Linked DNA regions of Cricetulus griseus. The protein of the gene in region 1 binds, or shares a complex with, the protein of each later gene. Links are inferred from orthologs where the notes say so. Each region holds a gene or a part of one and is shown in the gene's direction. Other genes may lie near its edges.

Region 1 (4,244 bases):
GATTTTTGCTTTCCTTTTTCTTTTTTTTTTTTTTTTTTTTTTTTTTTTTTTTGAGGCAGCCAGGCTTTCCTGGAAATCTATCTCCAAAGGAGTGCTGGGATTAGAGATATGTGCCACTGACCTTATAAAGACAGTTTTAAATGATTAAAGAGCTGCAACTGAAGGGGACAGCATCAGGTGGTGAATGAAACAAAGAAGGAATATGCTGGAATGTTGCTCAGTGACTGAGCACTCAGCAAGCATGGGCCCTGAGTTTGAACAACACCACCACCACCGCCACCACCACCACCATCACCACCACCACACCACCACCACCACACCACCACACCACCACCACAAAAAGAAAAAAAGAAAGAAAAGGAAAAGGAAAAGGAATGAGCCAGGTAGTGGTGGCGCACACTTTTAATCCCAGCACTTGGGAGGCAGAAGGATCGATGTGAGTTCCAGGCCAGTCTACAGAGTGAGTGCCAGAACAAGTTTCAAAGCTACACAGAGAAACCCAGTCTTGAAAAAAAGAAAAGAAAAGAAGGAAGGAAGGAAGGAAGGAAGAGAAAGTATATCAAGAATAAATAAACTTGACATTTATCTTTCATACAGTGTCTGGGAGGGAATGGAGTGGGCTGAAAGAAGTGTCTGATTTGTCTTATTTACAAAGTGTAGATCAATTTGAGAAGGGCTGACTCTAGGGCTCAGTGGATAAAGAGGCTTGCATGCAAGCCCGACCACATGAGGTTCATTCCTGGAAACCATAGACCCGGAAAGATTTGGCTACACACGAAGTTGTTTTCTTAAATCCACATCACACACACACACACACACACACACACACACACACACACACACACACACTCCATCACCACATAATAAACAAAGTTGTTTTTAAAATTATGGGAAAAACGTTAGAAATATGTCTAGTACTCTAAGACTCAAAAAGAATAAAATCCTCACGGCTAATTGCTACCCTAGATTAAAATAGAGACTGAAAATACGCTGCTGGGATTGGCCCTTTGCAGCCACCGTTGGAAAACCAGCTTCAGGTCTCTTAGCAACAGGTTTTGACAACACCTGAACGGAGATGAGAACTGGGAGGGTTCGGCCTGGAGATTTCCTAAGGACTTGGGGACTCTGCCTTGCGGTCACTCCTAGGACTGTACAAAGTGGTCGCCGAGGGGTGGGGACCCTTCGCTAGGGCAGCGGGCTAGGGCCTTCCCCTACCCCTGGAGAGCGGCACTGATGCCGCAGTGAGGCGGCCAGGGCTCAACTTGGGCTCTGAACAAGTCATATTCTTGCAGGACTGCTTGTCGGGAAACACGGCAGTTTCTGTTTTCACAAATTAATCAAGCCCAGCACCAAATATTACCACGGGTTGTTTGGGACGAGGACGCGTGTCATTGCAGTGGATACCCGGTCAGGAAATTAGTAAACTATTCCGGGAAACGCCAGAATGGAGGTGTCTATGCCCCTGCCTCAGATATATGTAGAAAAAACCCTAGCCATTATCAAGCCAGATGTTGTTGACAAAGAAGATGAGATACGCGACATTATTCTCAGATCTGGATTCACCATCATTCAGGTAACTTCTGGCGACTCTTATTAGTTTGCACTATACTTATATAAATGTCCCCACCCATTTATATCTGTAGTAACATTGAATTTACGTTTCTAAATATAAAGGTTGTATGCAATCTGGACAGATAGGCTCATGCCTGTATTCTCCGTACCAGGGAGGTGGAGGCAGGAGGATCAGGAGTTCAGCTATGCAGTGACTTCAAAGTTGACAGATCAGCCACAGCTCTCTGAGATCTGTCCCCAAAACAAACAAGTAACACGTAATAGCTTATTTTTTCACACTTCCAAAAGATACAGAATAATACACAAAAGAAGCCAAATTGCCTTTTCCTTCCCTTAACTTCTCCCAGGGGTTTCTCTGTGTTTGAAAGATTTTCCCCACAAGATGAAGTGATCCTCTCTGACTTCCTCACAGAGTCTCTTTGGCAAAGTTCTGGGTCAATAAATCAGAATCTACTTATCCCTTCTAAGTTATGTGTAATATTCCTGTGCATAGATAAGTTCTCTAGTGTTCGTAGGGTTATTTAAAAAAACGAAATAATAACAAAACCCAAAAACCAGGGTCTCTCTAAGTAGCCCTGATTGTGACTGTTCTGGAACTCACTCTGTAGACCAGGCTGGCCTCAGACTCAGAGATCCACTTGCTCCTGCTTCTGCCTCCTGAGTGCTGGGATTAAAGGTGTGTATGGCCACCACTGCCCAGAAAACATTTAATGTTTTAGATGAATATTTGTCTTGCAGTTTGTAAACATGGTCATGGTGCCAGGCCCTCCAGAGGACATTGAGTGGTCAGCTTGTATTACACAGGGAGTCCTAAACCAGCCAGGGGTACAGAGGACCCAGGGCCTGGAGGTGCTGCTGTAAGCTTGTGATACCATCCATAGGTAGGGTAAGACTGGAGTTCCCTACCATCTTGGCCTTCACAGAGTTTCAAACTGTCCTCTAGTATGATAAGGTCTCCAACTGAAGACAGAATGTATAAATATATCAAATAAAACTTAACATTTTAAATATTTTGTTAAATTTTACTTGAACTACTGGTTTTTTAATCTCTTAAATGTATATAGCTTAGTGTGGTGCTTTTACTCCAAGCACTTGTGAGGCAGAAGCAGGTGTATGTCTGTGAGTTCAAGGCCAGCCTGGTCTACACAATAAGTTTCTGGCCAGCCAGGGCTACATAGTGAGACCCTATCGTAAATGTTTTTTATGTAAAGCCAACTGTAATGGTTCATGCCTTTAATCACAGCACTCGGGAGGCAGAGGTAGGCTTATCTCTGTGAATTTGAAGCTAGCCTGCTCTACAGAGTTCCAGGACAATCAGAGCTACATAGTGAGACCCTGTCTCGAAAAAGCAACAGCAAAAATTATATAGTATCAGATTATCATCATATTATCAATTCTGCCAGTATTTTAAAATAAAGAAAACTGAACTGGAGAGGGGTTTGTGTCACAGTGTTTGCTGAGCAAGCACAAGGACTTGAGTTCGAATCCCCAGTAACCATGTAAAAGGCAGGTGTGGTGGTGGACACCTGTAGGTAATCCCAGTACTGGGGAGGCAGGACAGGAGGACCCTGGAGCTCTTGAGCCCACTAGTCTTGTCAAGTTGGTGATTCAGGTTCAGTGGGAGATCCAAGGTGGTCAGCAACTGAGGCTAGTCTCCAATGTGGGTATCTGGCTCCACATATATGCACCTGCACCCCCACTTATGTGTGTATATACAGACACACACAGACATGCATATCCTACACATACACACACACACAAACACACTCAGAGATGATGTGGGGAAGAATGTTGACAGAGTTGACAACTCTGGTACAAGAAATATTCAGATGAACACAAAGTCTTTAATAAATGTTGTGAAGAAAATTGACTATTTTTATTCTGAGATAACTCTAAATGGATCTAAATATTTAAAAATTAAGCTTGTAAGTGGGGCTAGGGTGTGGCTTAGAGGTAGAGCACAGACCTAACAAGCATGAGGCTTCGGATTCAATCCCCCCTAACAAAAAAACATTAAACTATGTTTGTAACTTCTTCAAGAAGAAAAAGTGCCTAAACAAACAATTGGGGAACAAAGATACTTAAAAACCCAGGTTCTCAGGCTGAGGATGCAGCTCAGCTGGGGGAATGCCTGCCAAGAAATTATGAAACCATGGCTTCCATTGCCAGAACAGTATACAACCTGGAGTTCAGTATTCAGGGAATTGGGGCCAGAGGATCACAAGTTTAAAGAGGTCATCCCCAGCTACATAGTGAGCTTGAGGCTAGCCTGGGCTACATGAGACCCTGAGAGAGAGAGAGAGAGAGAGAGAGAGAGAGAGAGAGAGAGAGACAGACAGACAGACACACACACACACACACACACACACACACACACACACAGAGAGAGAGAGAGAGAGAGAGAGAGAGAGAGAGAGAGAGAGAGAGAGAGAGGAGACTCTTGCTATTTAGTTCAGGATGTCCTCCAGCACACAGTGAACACCCTGCCTCTCCTTTATTCAAGTTGGGTCTAAGGTGCTCATCACCTTGTTGTGTTTTGTTTTCTGAGGAGATTTCACTATGTAGCTACTGCTGGCTCCTTAGTGTTGGGATTGCACACAGTGTGCCATTATGCCGGGCTTAATTTTAAATTTTATAAGTTTTTTGTTTTGTTTTTTCAAAAGAAGGGTGGG
Region 2 (3,500 bases), on another chromosome or scaffold:
TTATTAGTGTGGCCATATGGACAGTCACAAGCTGAGTAATCTTCCAATTGCCAAAATGCCTCATCCCAGTATGAGTCATGTGACTTTTTTTGCACCGTCCTACTGATGAAAAAATGGAGGTCATAGTAGGTTGGCTTGGTTAGAAGAACCTTCTCATTGAAGAGTGGCTTTTCATGTCAGGCTGAACATTTCCCCTGCAGCATATGAGTGTTGCTAAGGACCTCTGGAGAACACTTGGGCATTGGACAGTAACTTGGACATGGTGAATTCATTTAGGAATGTGGACTCATTTTTTTCCTGTATATAAAGCCCAAACTCAACCTCTGTTTAAAAATCTCTTAATCTAAGACATTAATGTTGTTGCTTTACATAGTTGCTAGAACTTTTGCTTCAATTATAACATTTCATTCAGCCCATTTTTAAAATTCCTAATATTTTTATTCAGTCTTAGAAAATTGCATACAATGTATGTTTTATATATTTTCTTTTTTATTTTTGAGATCATAATGTAATTATATCATTTCTCTATTTCCTTTCCTCCCACTAAACCCTCCAATATACCTCTTCTTGCTCTCTTTCAAATTTATAGCACCCTTTTCATTAATTTTTGTTACACACACACACACACACACACACACACACACACACACACACATATATATTCCAAAACAAAACCTGCCATGTCTGTATAATGCTACTTTTGTGTACGTTTTCAGGGCTGACCATTTGGCATCAGACAACCAATTAGTGTGCTTTTCCCTGGGGGAGACAGTTTCTCCCACTCTTAGCATTCTTTGGGTGCCTGTAGTTTTCATGCAGGGTTGAAGTCTCATGGGCTTTCCCCTGGCCACTTTGACATGTCTATTATTGTCCTTGGCCAGCTCATGTGTATGCAGCCATATTGGGAGACTTTATGGATATAGCTTCTGCCGCTATAGCCCCCTACTCTCTGGTTCTTACAATCTTTCCACCCACTTCCATGTCCCCTGAGCCTTAGGTGCATGACTTGTTTTGTAGATGTATACACTGGAACTGGACCCCACAACTCTGCATTTTAATTGTATTTGAATGCAATTTGAATGCAGTTTTATTTTAATTGAATGCTATTTTAATGTGGTTTAAATTTAATTTAATGTGGTTTTCTGTAATGGTCTCTGTCTGTTATTGCAAAGAGAAGTTTCCTTAATGTGGTGTGAAGACTACATTTGTCTATGGGTTGAAGGACAAATGTTTCGAGTGTTGTTAGGGATTATGCTGGCTTAGTAAAGTGGTTCTAAGTTCTTCTTCAAGATCTGTGAACTTGCCTGACCTGAGTAGTTAGCTAGGTTTCCAGTTACCAAGCAGGATGCCACTCTTGTTAAACCAGTAAGGCATGTGTGTTACTACTGCACTCTTAAGGTTATTGTGCCATGCTGGGCTTGTGGTTCATGGACATCACAACTGGCTAGGACAGTTGGTTGCTTCTTTCCTTTTGAAGCTCTCATGGCACCTTCTGGTATCACAAAAGCTTGTCCCCAGGGAAAAAGGTACTCAGGTCAGTTTCAGCTCAGGGCTCTGTGTCTGAACTGCATCATGATGCCTTCAGCAATTGAGATTTACCCTTTGAAGGGACCAGCTTCCCTTTTGGCAGCCATAATGACCAAACATGTGCTCTATGACCTTGTCTTAGTCACTAGAAAGTAAGATGCCTGCCTTGTGACAAGGAAACAATCAGAAGTTAGTCACTAGAAAGTCAGATGCCTGCCTCGTGACAAGGAGCCAATCAGAAGTTAGCTGGTGGCACTATGCTTTACGACCCTGGGTGTGCTTTACGGACAAGCGCACAGCAATGACACACAAAGCATAGCAACCACCCTGGGAGGGCCTATGGGCCATAACAACCAGTTGACCAATCAACACAGGGCAAACCCTCCAAGCCTGGAGGCACGCCAATCCTGAGCCTGTGCATACCCCTAGACACTCCCCTTATGCTGCCCTATAAAGATCTTTGTGCAGCGGCTTCGAACTGTCTTTGCTAGCCATCCGCCATGGTAGGTGGGTCAAAGGCCCGAGCTAACATGGGGTTAGCTCATTAAACTACAATAAAGCCTCATGCAATTTGCATCAAGCTTTCGCCTCCATTCTGTGATTGGGGTGGCCGCAGTCCTGGGCTAAGATTCTGGAAGCATCAGCTTTTCGAGGGTCTTACACCTTCACCTCTGGTCAGCCTCATTTTTGAAAGAATTTTATTTAATTATGAACCATTATCTCTTATTAGTATATAGTAAATGAAACTGTGATCCTTTTGTGTGTGTGTGTGTGTGTGTGTGTGTGTGTGTGCGTGTGTGTGCCCTGTATTCTGATTACTCTGATTACTCCTTGGAAAGTGACATGGATTTTGCTGTTAAACTGATCATAGCACTTTATAAAAATAAAAATTCTTAAAATCTAAACATGAAATAGAAACAAACAATATTCAGTGTTTTCTTAATTTTTTCTTAGGAGAGAAGCACAGAAAGTGGGGCTAAGGGTGATGAGTCCCTACAGCAAGAGGTGAGAAGGAATAGCTACTGTGTGTTATGTGAAATGAGTACAGTTTAAGAGTAGAAACCTAAGTTTTAAATATCAGTGGCTAAAGTTTTAATAAGAACATTGTCAAAAGTGCTGGTCCAGGATGGATATGGTAGGGCACACACAGGATCACAGTGCCTGAGGCTTGGTTGTTGTGATTCCTGGCACACCTAAAGCTACATAGTGAGACCCTGTTTTAACAAACAAAAGCAAAGTCAAAAGCCCTATAACAGTGATAGTCCAAATTAGTATTCTAATGGTAAGTCACAGCTGTGTGGTGCTTTGAAATAAACCTCAAAGTGGATAAAATTTGAACATGAAATATGTACTTGTATATTTTGAAGATACAATGTCCTGTTATATTGCACATAGAATTACTTACAAGTGCATTTTGAAATTCCAAATGCATTTAAAGATAATTTTTAGTGCTTCTTACTAGATAGAATTCTGGTATCATTAAAAGCCATTGATGAATTCTACTACTTAACAATGTTGATTTTGTGTGCTTAATTCAGAAATTTTATATCAAATTGCCAGAAAAATAACAGGTTCATTTTGAAGACATGCAAAAGTAAAAACTGACTTTTATGACTGTAGGACTCAATGATGGACTCAGGCAAAACCCTAGCTGAAATCAGTGATCGCTACGGAGCACCTAACTTGAGCAGAGTGGAAGAGCTTGAAGAGCCATTGTTATCTGATGTGAGTATCAAAATGTGTTGTCGCAGAAGTTTTCATGTTGATAAAGTCTGGTGTATATGACTTTATCAATATATAATATTTTAAATATATTTAATGAATATTAAACTTAATATATTTATCTAAATATATTAAATATATAATATTTATAATACACGGAATACTTTTCCTTCATGCAAAGAAGACCAAATGTGTAGGTGTTAACCAATTTTTAAAAATTTTACTTTTATGTTATGTGTATGAGTATTTTG
Region 3 (4,141 bases), on another chromosome or scaffold:
TATTCATTGACAATTTCACACATCTAATCAATGCATTTTGATCATATCCAGTCCAAGTTCCTCCTCCCACATGCCTTCAATATAGTCCTTTCTTACCTTCTCTCCTCTCACTGTTTGACTAATAACCTACTGAGTCTAATTAGTGCTGCCTGTTGGAATGGTGGCTGGTTGTACTAATTTAATATTGTATAGGTAGCTATAGCTGCAGTGAATTCATGCCATGTCATATAATGAAGATAGCATTTCGCAGCACTCATTCTCACCCTCTAGCTCTTAAATGCTTTCCATCCCTCTTCTGTGATATTCCTTGAGCCTTGGGGTGGAGATTGATGCAGATGTCCCATTTAGGGTTGAACACTCAAGAGACACTATACTCAGCACTTTGGACCAGTTATGAGCTATATTAACCACTGTCCACTGCAGGGAGAGGCTTCTCTGCTGCCGCTAATTGATCCTCATGCCTCAGCCTCTTGAGGGCCAACATTAGGGACATGTGCCACCTTGACCCACTTCTTTTGATTTCTACAGAGGCTTATCTCTCAGAGTTGTCCCTGAGCCTTACAAAAGACTTAGGACTTTGACTTTTGAGTTGCTCTGGGACTGTTAAAGACTTTAGTGCCAGGCACAGTTGTACATGCCTGTAGTTCCATCACTCAGAGTATGGAGGCAAGAGGATAGCAAGTTCAAGGCCAGCTTAGGCCATACTACAGGAACCTGCCGCAAAAGACAAAACCCAAATCAACAACAAAAGACTTCAGTGACTCTTGAAGATATATCAAATATATTTTTCATGGTGAGGTAAGTACTCACCTTTGGGAGCCAGGGACAGAGTGTTGTGATTCATATCTTAAACATCCCCCCCAAAGTCATATACTGAAGGCTTTTTGGTGGGGCTATGGCAATATTGGGAAATGGCAGAGTCTGTAAGAGGTACAGCCTAGTGGAAGGAAGTTAGGTCATTGGGGTCACACCCTTGGAAAGGACTCTCTCTCTCTCTTTCTCATGTGTGGGGTAACAGTATGTGTCCCTCCCTTACTCTTTTCCTCCTTCCTTCCCTCCACTTCCTGAAGTGAGTTACTCTTACCCACCATGCCACCAGGTACCCTCTCTTACAATGTTTGCCCTCATTATAGGCCCAGAGTGATTGGGCCAAATGGCCATATAGCCAAAATAACTCTTTTCTCCTTTAGTTGATGGTCTCAAGCATTATGTCATTGTACTGGAAAACTACTATAATTGTGATTCAGAAATACTTCATATTTGTTAGAATGGATTCATTTTAAAAGATCTATAGCATTTGTAAACTAGAGCATTTGATTTGGTGTCTCCCAGGTCCCCAGCATGGAAACTGATTACCTGAAGAAATGCTTTGGAAACAGCCTGACCCAGGCATTGGCAGAGGTGGCAAGAGTGCGACCCAGTGACCCAATAGAGTACTTGGCTCTCTTGCTTTACCATTATGGGAATGTGAATAACGATAAAGAAAAGGTGTGCTTATATACTGGGCCTGACTAGGGAGGGTTTGGCTTGCTCAGAAAAGCTTGAAATCCAAGGCAGAGTCCCGAGCTTGCATGGAAAGTTTCTTGGCTCATCCACCTTGTGAAGACTGCTTAGTCTCCGCTACCTCTGATGTAGGACTCTGAGGGGGAAGAAGGGAGTCTAGCTTAGAGGGTTGTAGAGTTGGGTTTGGAGCTACTGGCTAGCTAACCCTTCTAAGAGGAAGAAGTTCAGTGGGTCTGGCAGGTCCAGGCCCATCTCAGGGGAGGGAGGGTTCCTGTTGAAGAGATGTAACCTGATTGTCTCTATCGTATTACTGCAGAAAAGGCAAGAGGAGCTACAGCTAAAGGAAGAGCATGACAGAGTCCTCAAGGAAGCAAATATGACCCAAATACTGAAACAAGAGGAAAATCAGATTCAACAGAACTGTGAGCAGTGTCAACAGGTAGGAAGGAAGAATGGAAAATTTAGCTCAACTGCTCTCAGGCAGGGCTTCCAAGAAATCCTGAAGGCACCTAGCACTGGACAAAGCACACCAAGGCTACCCTTGGTCTGCTTGTCCCTCACAGCTGAACTGGAGGCATAAGCCAGTCACATTGACATCTTGCCAATAAAATACTTGGCAATAGAAAAATGAAATGTAAAATGGCAAATTTATTTTAGATTTCAGAAAATGTTATTGATATGACTGGCTTTAAAAACTTCAGATTTTAAATACTTTTTTCTTTCAAATTCCTTGGAACCCTTTTAAACATTATTCTGTATTTTTCAGAAACCAAATATGCATAATATATGCTAATATGCATATATTTGATATAGTGTTCTACTTAGCATTTTATCCTTAAGTTATTATTATTTGTCAAACATCAGGCCTACCCTCTATGATATAATACAAACATCAGTTATCAACTCCAAGCAGTTCAAAGCAACTCTGTCTATCTTGGTTTGACAAGTAAAACTTTAGTCTCCCACAGTATTTTCTACAACTCCTAAAAATTGGGCCATTTTACATGTACCTGGTTAGAGAACTCTCTCAGCTGTAATATTGGGATTGACACAAGAAGTCTTCTTAATCATCAATATGTCCTTAATATCCTTAGTGAGGTCCAGCTTTGCTGTCCCAAAGCCAACTTTGTGCTTTAAAACACTGTGCTTGTTTTAATTTGATGCTAAGATGCTCAGCAATAATACACTCTTATAACCAATAGGCTTATTTGTAAGGCTGAATGTTTTGTCAATAAATTGAAAAGAAGACACACCAGATTAAGAAGTCTGGGTACATGGTAAGTTCAAGGCCAGCTGGACAAATAAAAATCCTAAAGAACTGAGACCATATCACTCAGTTTTGGAGATTCAGCTAGTATGTAGAAGTGCTAAATTCAATCCCTTAGACTGGAACAAGACAGAGAGAGAGAGTGAGACGGGGGGGGGGGGGGGGCGGGGGCGGGGAGTCACTACATAGCCCATACTGTGATCTTCTTGCCTCAGCCTCCCAAGTACTAGTTAGAATCACAAACTACCATACCCATCAGGAAATTAGTTTGATAGTACTTTTTAATAAGCCCATGAGGCCAATCTATGCACTCCAAGGTAGCTATGAATACGGGCAAATGTATTGCAATATATTTTTGTGTAACCCCATTGTATAGGTATGAAACTTGAACTTTGTAGTTGGCCATGTTTTGTAATATTAAAGGATGAACATTCATGAAAGGGATCTCGCCCTCCAGGGTTCATTTTTTGAACAACTGAGAAGGAAAAGATGAGGCACATTAAGCAAAGTCCTCATTACTTGTCTATTTCCCAAAACTGTTTGTGAATAGAAAGAAATATGGAAAGTAAGACACGACTCCCCATACCACTGTGTTTTATGCTGCATTACTGTAGAAAGCTTTGCTTACACTAACAGTGTGAATTAGCCCTTTGTATTCCACTCAGGTTTTTGCACTCTATGGCTAGGATTAGATAAACCAAAAGTATGCCATTCTTTTCCCAAGTGTGAGAGATCCTTGTAAGGGAAGGGGGGAAAGGGGAGCCAGTGATGCCCAAACTATGCAAGCTCTTTCTTTGGAAGGTGTTTATAGGCCAGTTATAGTCACAGACATTGATCCCCTTTGTTAGACGGAATGACAACAACCTGAGACTGAACCAAGCTGAATGGATCGCTTACCTGGCCTCCTGACTGATGTCAGTTAATGTCCAAATCAAATTGAAAAGATTAGGCAAAGAGGTGGGAAGACAGCAATAAGACAACTTGCAAGTTCTGGCTCCTGGATGACTTAGTGTGGATTTCAGATACTCGTGTGTCACTAGTAGAGGAAAACTTGGCCTGGGATACATTTGGCACTATTTCAGCTGGCCTGTGGTTTACTGGATACCTTACGCGCACTTTCTTGCAAGGTTTGTCCTTCATATCTTTTGTTTTTGCTTTTGTTTGATTAGGATTGTTTGGCTTGGGTTTGGGGGAAGTTTGTGTTTGTTTGCTTTGTTTTTGAAATTTTTAAAAAAGATTTATTTATTTTATTATTATGTATACAGTGTTCTGTCTGCATGTATGCCTGCAGGCCAAAAGAGGACACAGATCTCATTACAGATGGTTTTGAGCCACCATGTGGTTGCTGGGAATTGAACTCAGGACCTCTGG
Region 4 (4,008 bases), about 160 Mb from region 1:
ACTTTTCCCCTTTGTCCAAGTTTCTGCTTGCCATTTATTGGTTATTTGGGACACTCTTGGAGGAGGAGCGGCTTCCTCAGGAGCCACACACTTGTCCTTTGCTTAGGAGGCCAGTTCCTTGCAGCTGTCTGTGGGTCTGCTAAAGCAGACACTCCCATATGTGGACAGTGGTTTCTTCACAAGGGTGCAGATGTTGAAAAACTGAAGACCTGGATGGTTGTTGCAGACTAAAAAGCTAATTAATACCACAGATAAGTACTAATTAGAGGCAAAACGAATTAGCCCTAACTTAAAGCCTTATGGAGGCAAACCTTTTTTTTTGAAGCTCAGTAGTGGGTTAGGCACACATTTTTTAAGATTCAGTTTATTTAAGGAGAGAAAAAGTCAAAATTTAAATCTCCGAGAGACTTCTCTAAGAATAAAAAGGACAAGCTCGGCAGTGGTGGTGCACACCTTTAATCCCAGCACTTGGGAGGCAGAGGCAGGAGGATCTTTGTGAGTTCAAGGCCAGTCTGGTCTACAGAGTGAGTTCCGGGAAAGCCAGGGCTACACAAGAGAATCCCTGTCTCAAAAAAAAACTCAAAATTTAAAAATAAAGAGCAAGCGTCTCGGCACTCGGATTGTTCTATGGTATTTCTCGCTTTACGGGGGTCATGTGGTGGCAGTGTGGGGCAGGGTCAGAATTGGTTACTTAGTGAAATTAAGTGTTGTCCAGGCTGGTCTCCCAACTCTGGTCCAAAGAACGGCAGCCTTGCTCCACTGAAACGACGCTGTGTGCCAGTCAGTCCCCGTCATCCAGCTTTAAGGAGGTCGATTTTACCTACATCATGTTGAAAGACCCCCGGAGAGGTTCTTTCGTGGAAGAAGACCCACACCCAGGAATCAGCGAAACCACGAACTTTGGATGTAAGAACAAGAGGATTTATTAATAACACGGATATCCGGGGCTTAGCTTCTGTTTTGCCAAGCCCCGAGCCCCGGAAGGAGGGTCCTTTTTATAAGGGAAAACAGGCATAGTACAGAAGCGAAAAGCATCAAATCAGCATTTTCTCAAGGTTTAATAGCCAGGCGAAATGGCCTTATCTCCTGCCTGTCCAGATGGCTGGCCTTGGGACGGAGCTATCCGGCGGGGGTTGGCCTTGCGTGGGGCGGGGAGTGAGGGCCAGCAGCTGCAGAGATCAAAAGGTCGGGGAGGGTGCTAAGGAGGGAGAGTGCTAAGGAGGGAAGGATGTATTCGCGCGCCCCGCCAGCTGCCGACCAGAGTAGAAAGGCTACAGCCCGGGTGGGGGGGGGTGTCTTTCAATGTTGCATCCTTTGAATAGAGACCATGATTTAGGTGTTAGTAAAAGTGACCCTCCTTAACTAGATAAGGGACAGTATTTACTCTTTATACCCACGTTTAAGCTTTTCCGTAGAATAAATAATTTAGATTAGCCATATTAGTAACATAGCTAAGGCATCAGAAAATTCTGTGGTCCCCAGATAGGTGAGCACTTGGGTCCACAGTGTCTGAGAACCATTTTGTCAAAGCCGCTTTGGTTTGGAAATGTGTATGCCTATGGGGGCGGCAGAGGCGCAAGGCCAAGGCCCTGTTCTCATCAGAAGACAGCTGGGGACCTCTTGGAGGTCCAGACTGGAAAACAAGCCCATATCCAGCCCTTTCCCCTGGGCCGGGTAAGTCACTGGTCACGCGATCAGGGCCCGGGTCGCCCTTAGCTCGCTGAGGCTGTTCGCGCCTGCGCAGCTCGGGTTGCCTTGGATACCGCACGCCACAATCGCGCGCACGCTCTGGAGCTGAGGGCGGTTGGGCCTCAGTTCCCCAGGAGCGGGCAAAGGAGCCGGCAAGAAGCGGAGACCCGCCGCTGCGCTGACCCCCGCTGACCCCTGTCTCCCCTCCCCGCAGCCCACCGGATCGGATCGTCGCGGGCCGCCGCGCTCTGCCCTGAGCCATGCCGCTGCCCGACACAATGTTCTGCGCGCAGCAGATTCACATCCCCCCGGAGCTGCCCGACATCCTGAAGCAGTTCACCAAGGCTGCCATCCGCACGCAGCCGGTGGACGTGCTGCAGTGGTCGGCGGGGTAAGCGCGCGCAGGCCGGGAGCCTCACCCGGTTCAGACGCCTGAGCTGTGGTTGTAGACTAAAGCTTACAGGACAACCGTGGGAAAATAAATAAATAAGTGACCCCACTGAGTTAAAAAAAAAAAAAAAGAAAGAAAAAAAAATCAGTCACAGGGACGCTTACAAATGTAGCCGCCTAGAACAATGAGCTCGCGCCTCCTCCTCCTTGGGTTCAAGGATGCAAAGGCTGTCATCCAGGAAAACTGGAGAGCTCGGCTCACAGCCTGAAAACCTTCACACATGAACATGGAAAAACATGAGCCCTCTCCCGGACCATACCATTATAATCTTAGCCACTCGTCCTTTTGGTTTTACAAGAGAGCTCTTTGCCACTTTTTTGTTGTTTTTGTTTTTTGTTTTTTGTTTTTTTTCGAGACAGGGTTTCTCTGTATAGCTTTGGAGCCTCTCCTGGCACTCGCTCTGGAGACCAGGCTGGCCTCGAACTCACAGAGATCCGCCTGCCTCTGCCTCCAAGTGCTGGGATTAAAGGTGTGTGCCACCAACGCCCGGCTCTTTGCCACTTTTTAAACCACGAGAATGAAGTATCTTTAGCCAAATGTCACTTTCTCTGAACTATATAGCTAAAGCGGCTTCGTTTCTTTTCTGTTTTAACGATTTGACTTGCTTTAAAACAACAGACATTTATCTTTACAGTTCTGGAGGTGAGATGCCCCAAATCAGTTGACACTGGCAACAGGCCATTGGGATGGCTTTGGGGAGACCAGCTGCTTATCAGTGCTGCGTTCTAATGGCCCTTCTACATCTACGGGTTCTCCCTCTCCTGAGGATCCCTGTGATACTTTTGGGAGCCATCCAGTTTGTTCAGGATAATTTCCCCATCTAAAGTCCTTAATTGTGCGAAGGCACTTGCCATGTAGAGTACCGTGTGCAGTTTCCAGGGAACAGGGTCTGGACATACTCCATCAGGGTCACCACCCTTTATCTGTTCTCTAAACTTCCCCTATGCAATATTATGGTCCCTGGCTTTAAGCATGGTGGGAGCCTTAGGAAGACTAGGGTTTTTGTTTGTTTGTTTGTTTGTTTGTTTTTTAATAAAAGTTTATGTATAGCAGTCCAAGCCTCTGCCCCCACCCTGGCCCATTTGATAACACTTGCTGACATGAAGGGCTTGCTCAAGGACTTCAGGTTCCTTTGATTGGTGGTGAAGAACAACTATAACCTTTAGCCTTTAGCCATTTAGGGCCAGAGTTCTGCATTTCTCTCATTTCTGCCCTCAGCCCTCCTCAGAGGAGCACAAGTCTTAATGTGTAGGCGGAGTTGACCCTAAGGGGTGAGGGGAGAGGGGAGAGGGTTTCTTTTGGTCTACTGTCTCCACTGTCCACATCCACCCATGTTACAGGTTTAGAATGTTTGTGGTGACATACCTGTTGCCCTGCTGCTTAATTTCATGTGCTGCCCCCCCCCCCAACACAAGTTCTTTGGTTTGGTTCACAACTGTAGCCCCAGATGCTGCCTGACACACAACTGCTGCTCTTCTGGCCAAACCTGATGTGAGTCCACTCTTGAATTGTTGCCTCGAGGAGCCATTTCTATGTTTGCCTTTAACCTAAGAATTTTCAGTGTCCTTGAAAGGAACAATTAAGGGGGAAGTACCTGGCCAGATTGGGGGAGAGGAGGGGGAATGGAAAATGGAAAGTAGGTGATCTCTGTATGCCTCGGTGTTTAGTGTCAAATACCTTAGAAAGCAGCTGTCAAAACATGAGTTGCCTTAGGTGTGGGGGCCCCAGAGAGATGAATAAACAACATTGAGTATTTGCTTGCTTTTCCAAAGGACCTGAGTTAAACTTCTAGTGCCCATGTCACACAGCTCAAATGGTGTGTAGCTCCAGCTACAGGCCATCTGGCACCCGTGGACTCCAAGGACATC
Region 5 (3,121 bases), on another chromosome or scaffold:
ATTCATTCTCAAAGTACAGACAGACAAACCTTCCTGCCCACTTGCCTTGGGGCTCCAAAGAGACTATTCTGGGGTTGTTCCTCCCCCCCCTTCTACCCTGCATTAGAGGGAGAGAGGATGGAGGGTTGGGCAAGATTTCTAACGTTGAACATTGCCACTGGACCTTTGAGTGTCTGATACCCTCCTCTTCTGCAGGGAACCGCATCCACCAAGTGACTGGACTGGATCCCGAAAGACTGACTAGCCTGCACACCCTGGAACTTCGAGGGAACCAGATAGAAAGCACTCTGGGACTCAACCTTCCTAAGCTGAAGAATCTCTTCCTGGTAGCACACTGGGCCCTAGGGTGGTGCAGAGAAAGGGAGCACAGCCCTGGCTTCCAGCAGGCTCAGCCGCTAGCTTCACCACCATGAGGGTGATGAGTGCTTGCACGGCGTCTGATACCCTGGAAATGTTAAGACAACACAGGCTTATGCTTATATTCCCAGTACTTGGGAGGCGGAGAGTTAGAGACCAGCCTAGACTACAGAATAAGACTCTGTCTCTTAGAGTGAAAGGGAGGGAATAAGGGAGAGGGAGCAAGAAAGGTAGGCTTCCAATCTAGCAGGACTACAATTTACATTGTGTGGAAAATGCAGAGAAAATGTTTTGATACAGGCTGTTGCAAAATGAGCTATTCAGGTATGGAAAGCAGGCTAAGGAGGCCACTTAAATGTTTATTTAGTATTTATTTATTTATTTATTTATTTATTTATTTATTTATTGAGACAGAGTCTTTGGAGGTTGCTGGGGTCAAGACAGGGTTTCTCTGTGTAGTCTTAGCTGTTCTGGAACTTGCTCTATAGACCAGGCTGGCCTGGAACTCAGAGATCCACCTTCCTCAGTCTCCCGAGTGCTGGGATTAAAGGCGTGTGCCACCACCACCTGGCCAGAGACAGGGTCTTATATAGCCCTGAAATCACTATGTAGTTGAGGAGTACCTTGAACTCCTCCTGGTCTTCCTGCCTCTACCTCCTAAGTGCCAGGATTCCAGTATGGACCATTATAATCAACTATACTTTTGGTTTTGTTTTGTTTTGTTTTTGTTTTTGACACAGGGTTTCTTTGTGTAGCTCTGGCTGTCCTGGAACTTTCTCTGTAGACCAGCCTGGTCTCGAGCTCACAGAGATCCGCCTGCCTCTGCCTCCCAAGTGCTGGGATTAAAGGCATGCGCCACCAACACCCGGCTTATTACTTTACTTTTAAAGAATATTTACTTTTATGTCTATGAGTGTTTTGTCCATATTATGTATGTATATATGTATGTATGTATGCATGCATGTCTGTGTAGTGGCATGTGTGTGCCTGGTGTCACTGGAGATCAGGAGGGAGGTGAGGTCCCTGGAACTGGAGTCACAGGTGGTTGTGAGCTGCCATGTGGGTGCTGGGAACTGAACCTGGGTCTTCGGAAACAGCAGCAGGTGGTCTTAACTGCTGAGCCATTGCCTTGGCCCCAGGTTTGCTTTACTTTTGAGACAGGGTCTCCTTGTATAGTCTACACTGGTCTGAACTCCTTATGTAGCTGGGGTCACAGCTGTGCACTGTTGTGTCAGCCTCTAAGGGTCTGTCCCTTTAGGCTGGGCATGCTGCTTTCTGGACTGGTACTACAGCCACTCCTCGATGAGCTAATGGGCCTCCTGGGCCAAGGGCAGGTTCAAGCGGCCCTTCTGTAATCAGAGATGGCCTTGGCGGGATGGGCTGCAAGAGAGCACAGCTGAGCGTTTGTTGTAGTAGCAGCTTCTTTCTTCTTTTCCTTTTCCTATGTCTACCTTTTTTTCTTTCCTTCCTTTCCTTTTATTTTTTGTGTGTGTTTTTGTTTTGTTTTGTTTTGTTGGTATTGGGGATTGAAACCAGTGCCTTTGTACACACTATAGGAGTGTGCTACCACCAAACTGCCTAACTAGCCCAGAAACTAGTATACATTTCTAGTTTCCAGTAGCATATTTTTTATATTATTTTTATCATCATCCTATTTTTTGTAATTCTGGGAAATCTAGTCTTTAAATTTCTTTCTCTTTTTAAATTAAAAATTAATTTACAGTCTGAGTTCAAGACCACTCGAACTAGTCTACAAGAGCTAGTTCCAGGATAGCCTCCAAAGCACAGAGAAACCCTGCCTCAGAAAAAAAAAATCACTTTACAGTGACTTCTTTATGAGGGAGATGCAGATGGAGTCCAAGATGACTTGCAGGCGTTAGTTCTCTTCCCACTGGGTGGGTGCTGGCAAATGAATCAGGTTGTCAGGCTTGGTTGATGCAGCAATCCTACTGATTCCTTCTTTGTCTGTTTTTTGGGGGTGGTATTTGAAATAGGGTGTCACACTATAGTCCAGGCATGCCTGGAGACCCACTAAGTAGCCCAGGCTACAATCTCCCTGCCTCTGCCTCCAGAATACTAGGATTTGGGGGGTGGGCCACCATACCTAGTTTGGGACTTCTTTATCCTCTCGACCACACTCTCTTATGTACCCCTACTCTCCTTCTCCATGCCCCCCTCTCTACCTGGATTTCTTCTTTGCTTCATCACCCTTTCCCACGTCCCTCTTTGTGCTCCCCCTCTGAGTCAATGTATTGTGTGCTGGGTGCAGGCTCAGAACATGCTGAAGAAGATCGAAGGCCTGGAGAACCTCAGCAACCTGACCACCTTGCATCTCCGAGACAACCAGATCGAGACTCTGGACGGCTTCTCCAAGGAGATGAAGTCACTACAGTACCTGAACTTGAGGTGTGGGATTTGTCCTCTCCAAGGCCCACCTTGCATCTGCCCATCACCAAGAGCAGCTTCTGAGTCAGTGGTCCTCTCCCAGCAACCCACGGCTGGGTCCTTACCTTGTTCTCCGAGTCCTGCCCTCTGCTTTCCTCTCTTTCTTCGGCATTTACTTCAGAGAGCAACACAATCTTCTTGGGAGCCCTGAGTCCTTATGTTAATTTAATCCATAATGAATAAGAACATACTGTATTTAGTGAGGCCTACTCTGTGTTTTAGAAACATCTAAAAGAATCAGAAATGGTCCCTGTTTTTTCCTTCTTTTTCTCCCCCCCCCCTTTTTTTGGTTTGTACAGGGTTTCTCTGGCCTTGAACT
Region 6 (3,500 bases), on another chromosome or scaffold:
CCAAGACTGAACTAGGCCAAACCCAGGTGTGTGCCTGACCCTCAGTCTCCTAGGTCCTCCCAAAAGCCCATCCCAGTAGAATTTTTCTCATTGGCTTTCTGGGCTGTCTGGCCATCCTATAGAATCTATAGGATAGATGAATAACTCTGACATGCTAACTTGTAGAGACTTCTAGGCAGCAGGTTGCAAGAGCTATCCTTGCCCATCACCGTCCTGAGCTCTCTGACTGCCCCCCAGCCTCTCCAGTCACACACACCCCGGATCCCTCCTCAAGGTCACATGTGTCCACAGCTGTGAAGAGAGGCATCTACGACAAGTTTGGCGAGGAAGGCCTGAAAGGTGGGATTCCTCTGGAGTTTGGATCCCAGACTCCATGGACAACAGGCTACGTCTTCCATGGCAATCCTGATAAAGTGTTTCATGAGTTTTTTGGGGGAGACAACCCCTTCAGTGGTAAGAATCCCAGCCTACCCCTTGCTTACTGGTAAAGAACACAGCTACAGAAAATACCTTTCTTGATGGTTATGTTTGGCTGCTTTTTATTTGTTCTGTATTATTATTATTATATTATTAATTATTATTATTATTATTATTATTATTATTATTATTATTATTATTATTGAAATATGTATCCCAGGCCAGCCTTGGACTCTTTGTTTAGCCTAGAATGACCTTAAACTCCTGATCCCCTGACTCCCAAGTGCTGGAATTACAGTCATGTGCCACCACACCCAGTTTTCTTTCTTTTTTTAATTTTAGATTTGTTTATTTTATTTGCCTGTAGAAATGTGCACATGTGTGTGCTTGGTGCCCAAGGAGGTCAGAATAAGGCATCAGATCCCCTGGAACTAGAATCAGGGATGGTCGTAAGTCGTCATGTGGGTACTGGGAACTGAATCTGGCTTCTCTGCAAGAGCTCTTCGAGAGCTCTAACCACTGAGCCGTCTCTGCAGCCTCCTAGGTTTGGTCTCATTCTGTAGTGCATGTAGCTCCAAATTCATTTTGTAGTCTAGCTGGCTTTGAACTCATGGCAACCCTGGTTTAGCTACCCAAGTGCTAGAATTACAGGTGTGAGTCACCACATCCAGCCTTGTTTTATCTCTTTGAGAAATAAACACAGTACATGGAGAGAAAAAGAATTGTTCATTTCTTTATCTGAGGCTGGAACTCTCTCTTTAGCCCAGGCAGGCTTCAAATTCTCCAGCTTCCCAAGTGCTGGGATCACACATGTAAACCACAACACCGAAATTCAAATGGAACTTACTGAAAATATTCTAGCCCTCCATTTCCTTTCTTCTCCTTGATGCAGCCATTCTATGTTAGCATCCCCCATGTCCTTCCAGAAATCTCCTCTGTCTTTAAAGATATTCTACAGTGCTGAGGATTGAAATCAGGGCCTTATATAGTCAGAGCAGTGGTTCTCAACCCGTGGGTCACTTCGCCTTTGCCAAACCTCTATCTTCAAAAATATTTACATTACAATTCATAACAGTAGCAAAATTATAGTTACAAAGCAGCAATGAAAGTAATTTTATGGTTGGGGTATGCCCACAACATGAGGAACTGTATTAAAGGGTCGCAGCATTAGGAAGGTTGAGAAGACTTTATCATGGAACTACTTCCTTGATTCTTTTTAAAAAAGAACTTTCACTAATTTATTTAGAGTGTGTAAATCAGAGGACCACCCTCATGAGTCAGTTGTCCCCTTCCACCTCAGGCACTGGTGGTGACAAGTGCCTTTACTGGATGAGCCGTGACACTGGCTACCGGCCATCACATCTTAAATCCCTGCACAAATCTCCTACTGTTAATGAACACTTTACCATCTAGCTTGACACACTCATTCCATGGCCTTAACCACCTGAAGCAGGGTACATAACAGCCACCTCTGACTCCAGAGTACAAAGGGCCCTCTCACTCCACAGTCTACAAAGGGCCCACAGCTAGCAATATATCATAGTGACCAAGGCTGTGGCCAAGTGGTCATGTGGTATAGGTCCCAACTCCATTACTCAACCAGCTATGGAGCTGTGAGCATTCTGTTGGCCTCTCCAGCAATGAAGTAGTAAAGAGGAAAGTCGCTGAGTACAGAGCCTGATTCACTGCAGGCTCTCCCAGGGTTTAGCTGTTCATCTTAATGGTGTAGGCAGGACAAGCATTACCCCATACCACAGACTGAAAAACTGAATTCTAAAGGATTACAGTACTCCAAGCAGACTTGGAAGGTATCTCTCTTACAGCCACCAGGCTAAAGGCAAGGACATCAGGCAGGCTTTGGATGGAGGGCAGGCAGAGGTAGATGAGGGTGAGGAAGGGAGACTGAGGCACGCTGGTGACCACTCACAGTTGCCATCCACCTCCAAGTCCTTCATGTCATCCCAGAGATCTTGAGTCTGCTTGTCTAGAACAGTCATGGGGGAGTGGACAGAGAGGGGCCAGTAGGGCCTGGGGAAGTAGAGTGGACAGGTGGTTCTGACCCATTCTGTCTGAATGGAGTCTTCTCGGCACTATCAGGGTCTCCCACTTACAGTGATGCCTTAGCTCGTTCACGAAGCAGGAGCTGCCAGCACCTGGCTCAGTGGGAGTCCCAGGAAGCACTGGGGCCTGGCAGGCCTGATGCTCACTGGTCTGTAGCTAATAGCTAATGGTAGGCTTCTTGAAGCCAAGTGTGGTGGCTCACACCTGTTGTCCCATCATTCAGGAGATTGGAACAGGAGGATTGCCTTGAGTTCAAGGCTAAAACCAAATGAAATGAAACAAATGGTTCCTTGTTCTGTGGCTCTGAGAGGTGGGAATGATGAGCTGAACCTTGGGCACTGAAGAGGTTCAAGGGAATACAGCGTAGGATTGTGTGTGTGTCTGTCTGTCTGTCTGTCTGTCTGTCTGTCTGTCTGTCTTTTTGTCTGCCATCTGTCTGATTTGTGTCTTTGGACATCAATTCTGTTACTCATTTTCCTATCTCCTTTAGAATTTTTTGATGCAGAAGGAAATGATATAGATTTGAACTTTGGGGGGCTTCGGGGCCGAGGAGTCCAGAAACAAGACCCTCCAATTGAACGAGACCTCTATTTGTCCCTGGAGGACTTATTCTTTGGCTGTACCAAAAAGATTAAGATCTCCCGAAGGGTAAGCTTGCTCCTCTTAGCATGCACCATCTAACCCTACAAAGCTCCCTGTCACCTCCCCTTCCCCACAACTCAGCGATCCTTTCTGATGGAACTATCAAACCTTAGCCCAAGAAACTCAGTAATTTTAGATTTTAGAACTCTAGAATCTGAAATTTGAAATGAATAATGGAGGAGATTCACCCTTCTTGTACAGAAGTCACCTCTGCAGCCACCTCATGGGGACAGGATCCTCCCCTTCTCAGTCCAGCCCCACCCTTGTGGAAAGTAAAGGAGTAGGAGTGAGATGAGTCTCCCTGGAAATGAAGTCAATTCCAGGGTATTTCCAGACCACATCCCAAGGAGTGTGTGCATGGCCACAGGGTGGACATGGAG

What was found.
Region 2: Nme5 (region 1) and Dydc1 share a complex: the UniProt entries of both Homo sapiens proteins name them as parts of the axonemal radial spoke complex. The link is inferred for Cricetulus griseus from reciprocal best matches to the Homo sapiens genes NME5 and DYDC1.
Region 3: the proteins of Nme5 (region 1) and Dydc2 are in contact, whole or in part, in a cryo-EM structure (PDB 8X2U), measured with the Mus musculus proteins. The link is inferred for Cricetulus griseus from reciprocal best matches to the Homo sapiens genes NME5 and DYDC2. Residues at the interface, in NP_542368.2 of Mus musculus: Arg140, Ala145, Val146, Ile147, Ile151, Pro152, Ala156, Ala157, Tyr160, Ile161, Tyr164, Val165, Thr168, Leu169, Leu173, Leu176, Cys177, Lys180, Pro181, Asp183, Pro184, Tyr185, Leu186, Leu188, Ala189, Asp190, Leu192, Met193, Asn196, Pro197; in NP_001347537.1 of Mus musculus: Asp2, Tyr5, Leu6, Cys9, Phe10, Gly13, Leu14, Leu18, Val21, Ala22, Arg23, Val24, Arg25, Pro26, Asp28, Pro29, Ile30, Glu31, Leu33, Ala34, His35, Leu37, Tyr38, Tyr40, Arg41.
Region 4: Nme5 (region 1) and Ropn1l share a complex: the UniProt entries of both Homo sapiens proteins name them as parts of the axonemal radial spoke complex. The link is inferred for Cricetulus griseus from reciprocal best matches to the Homo sapiens genes NME5 and ROPN1L.
Region 5: Nme5 (region 1) and Lrrc23 share a complex: the UniProt entries of both Homo sapiens proteins name them as parts of the axonemal radial spoke complex. The link is inferred for Cricetulus griseus from reciprocal best matches to the Homo sapiens genes NME5 and LRRC23.
Region 6: the proteins of Nme5 (region 1) and Dnajb13 are in contact, whole or in part, in a cryo-EM structure (PDB 8WZB), measured with the Mus musculus proteins. The link is inferred for Cricetulus griseus from reciprocal best matches to the Homo sapiens genes NME5 and DNAJB13. Residues at the interface, in NP_542368.2 of Mus musculus: Glu52, His53, Asn56, Met193, Lys199, Pro200, Lys201, Leu202, Cys203, His204, Phe205; in NP_705755.2 of Mus musculus: Thr156, Lys157, Lys158, Thr181, Ile182, Asp183, Arg185, Trp188, Arg189, Gly191, Thr192, Arg193, Ile194, Thr195, Phe196, Glu197, Pro281.

The regions. Positions count from the first base shown.
Region 1 is NC_048595.1:202,906,802-202,911,045, forward strand, and holds the start of Nme5 (nucleoside diphosphate kinase homolog 5), read left to right. Parts: upstream 1-1,444; coding exon 1,445-1,573; intron 1,574-4,244. UniProt on the Homo sapiens protein: Functions as part of axonemal radial spoke complexes that play an important part in the motility of sperm and cilia. Does not seem to have nucleoside diphosphate kinase (NDPK) activity.
Region 2 is NW_023276807.1:179,038,073-179,041,572, reverse strand, and holds part of Dydc1 (DPY30 domain-containing protein 1), read left to right. Parts: intron 1-1,174; coding exon 1,175-1,192; intron 1,193-2,486; coding exon 2,487-2,532; intron 2,533-3,147; coding exon 3,148-3,252; intron 3,253-3,500. UniProt on the Homo sapiens protein: Functions as part of axonemal radial spoke complexes that play an important part in the motility of sperm and cilia. Plays a crucial role during acrosome biogenesis.
Region 3 is NW_023276807.1:179,057,807-179,061,947, forward strand, and holds the start of Dydc2 (DPY30 domain-containing protein 2), read left to right. Parts: upstream 1-1,341; coding exon 1,342-1,488; intron 1,489-1,819; coding exon 1,820-1,942; intron 1,943-4,141.
Region 4 is NC_048595.1:361,604,635-361,608,642, reverse strand, and holds the start of Ropn1l (ropporin-1-like protein), read left to right. Parts: upstream 1-1,208; 5' UTR 1,209-1,949; coding exon 1,950-2,080; intron 2,081-4,008. UniProt on the Homo sapiens protein: Functions as part of axonemal radial spoke complexes that play an important part in the motility of sperm and cilia. Important for male fertility.
Region 5 is NC_048601.1:21,631,610-21,634,730, forward strand, and holds part of Lrrc23 (leucine-rich repeat-containing protein 23), read left to right. Parts: intron 1-195; coding exon 196-326; intron 327-2,626; coding exon 2,627-2,763; intron 2,764-3,121. UniProt on the Homo sapiens protein: Essential for sperm motility and male fertility. Plays an important role in the proper assembly of the third radial spoke (RS3) head and the bridge structure between RS2 and RS3 in the sperm flagella.
Region 6 is NC_048596.1:99,008,789-99,012,288, forward strand, and holds part of Dnajb13 (dnaJ homolog subfamily B member 13), read left to right. Parts: intron 1-165; coding exon 166-453; intron 454-2,968; coding exon 2,969-3,126; intron 3,127-3,500. UniProt on the Homo sapiens protein: Functions as part of axonemal radial spoke complexes that play an important part in the motility of sperm and cilia.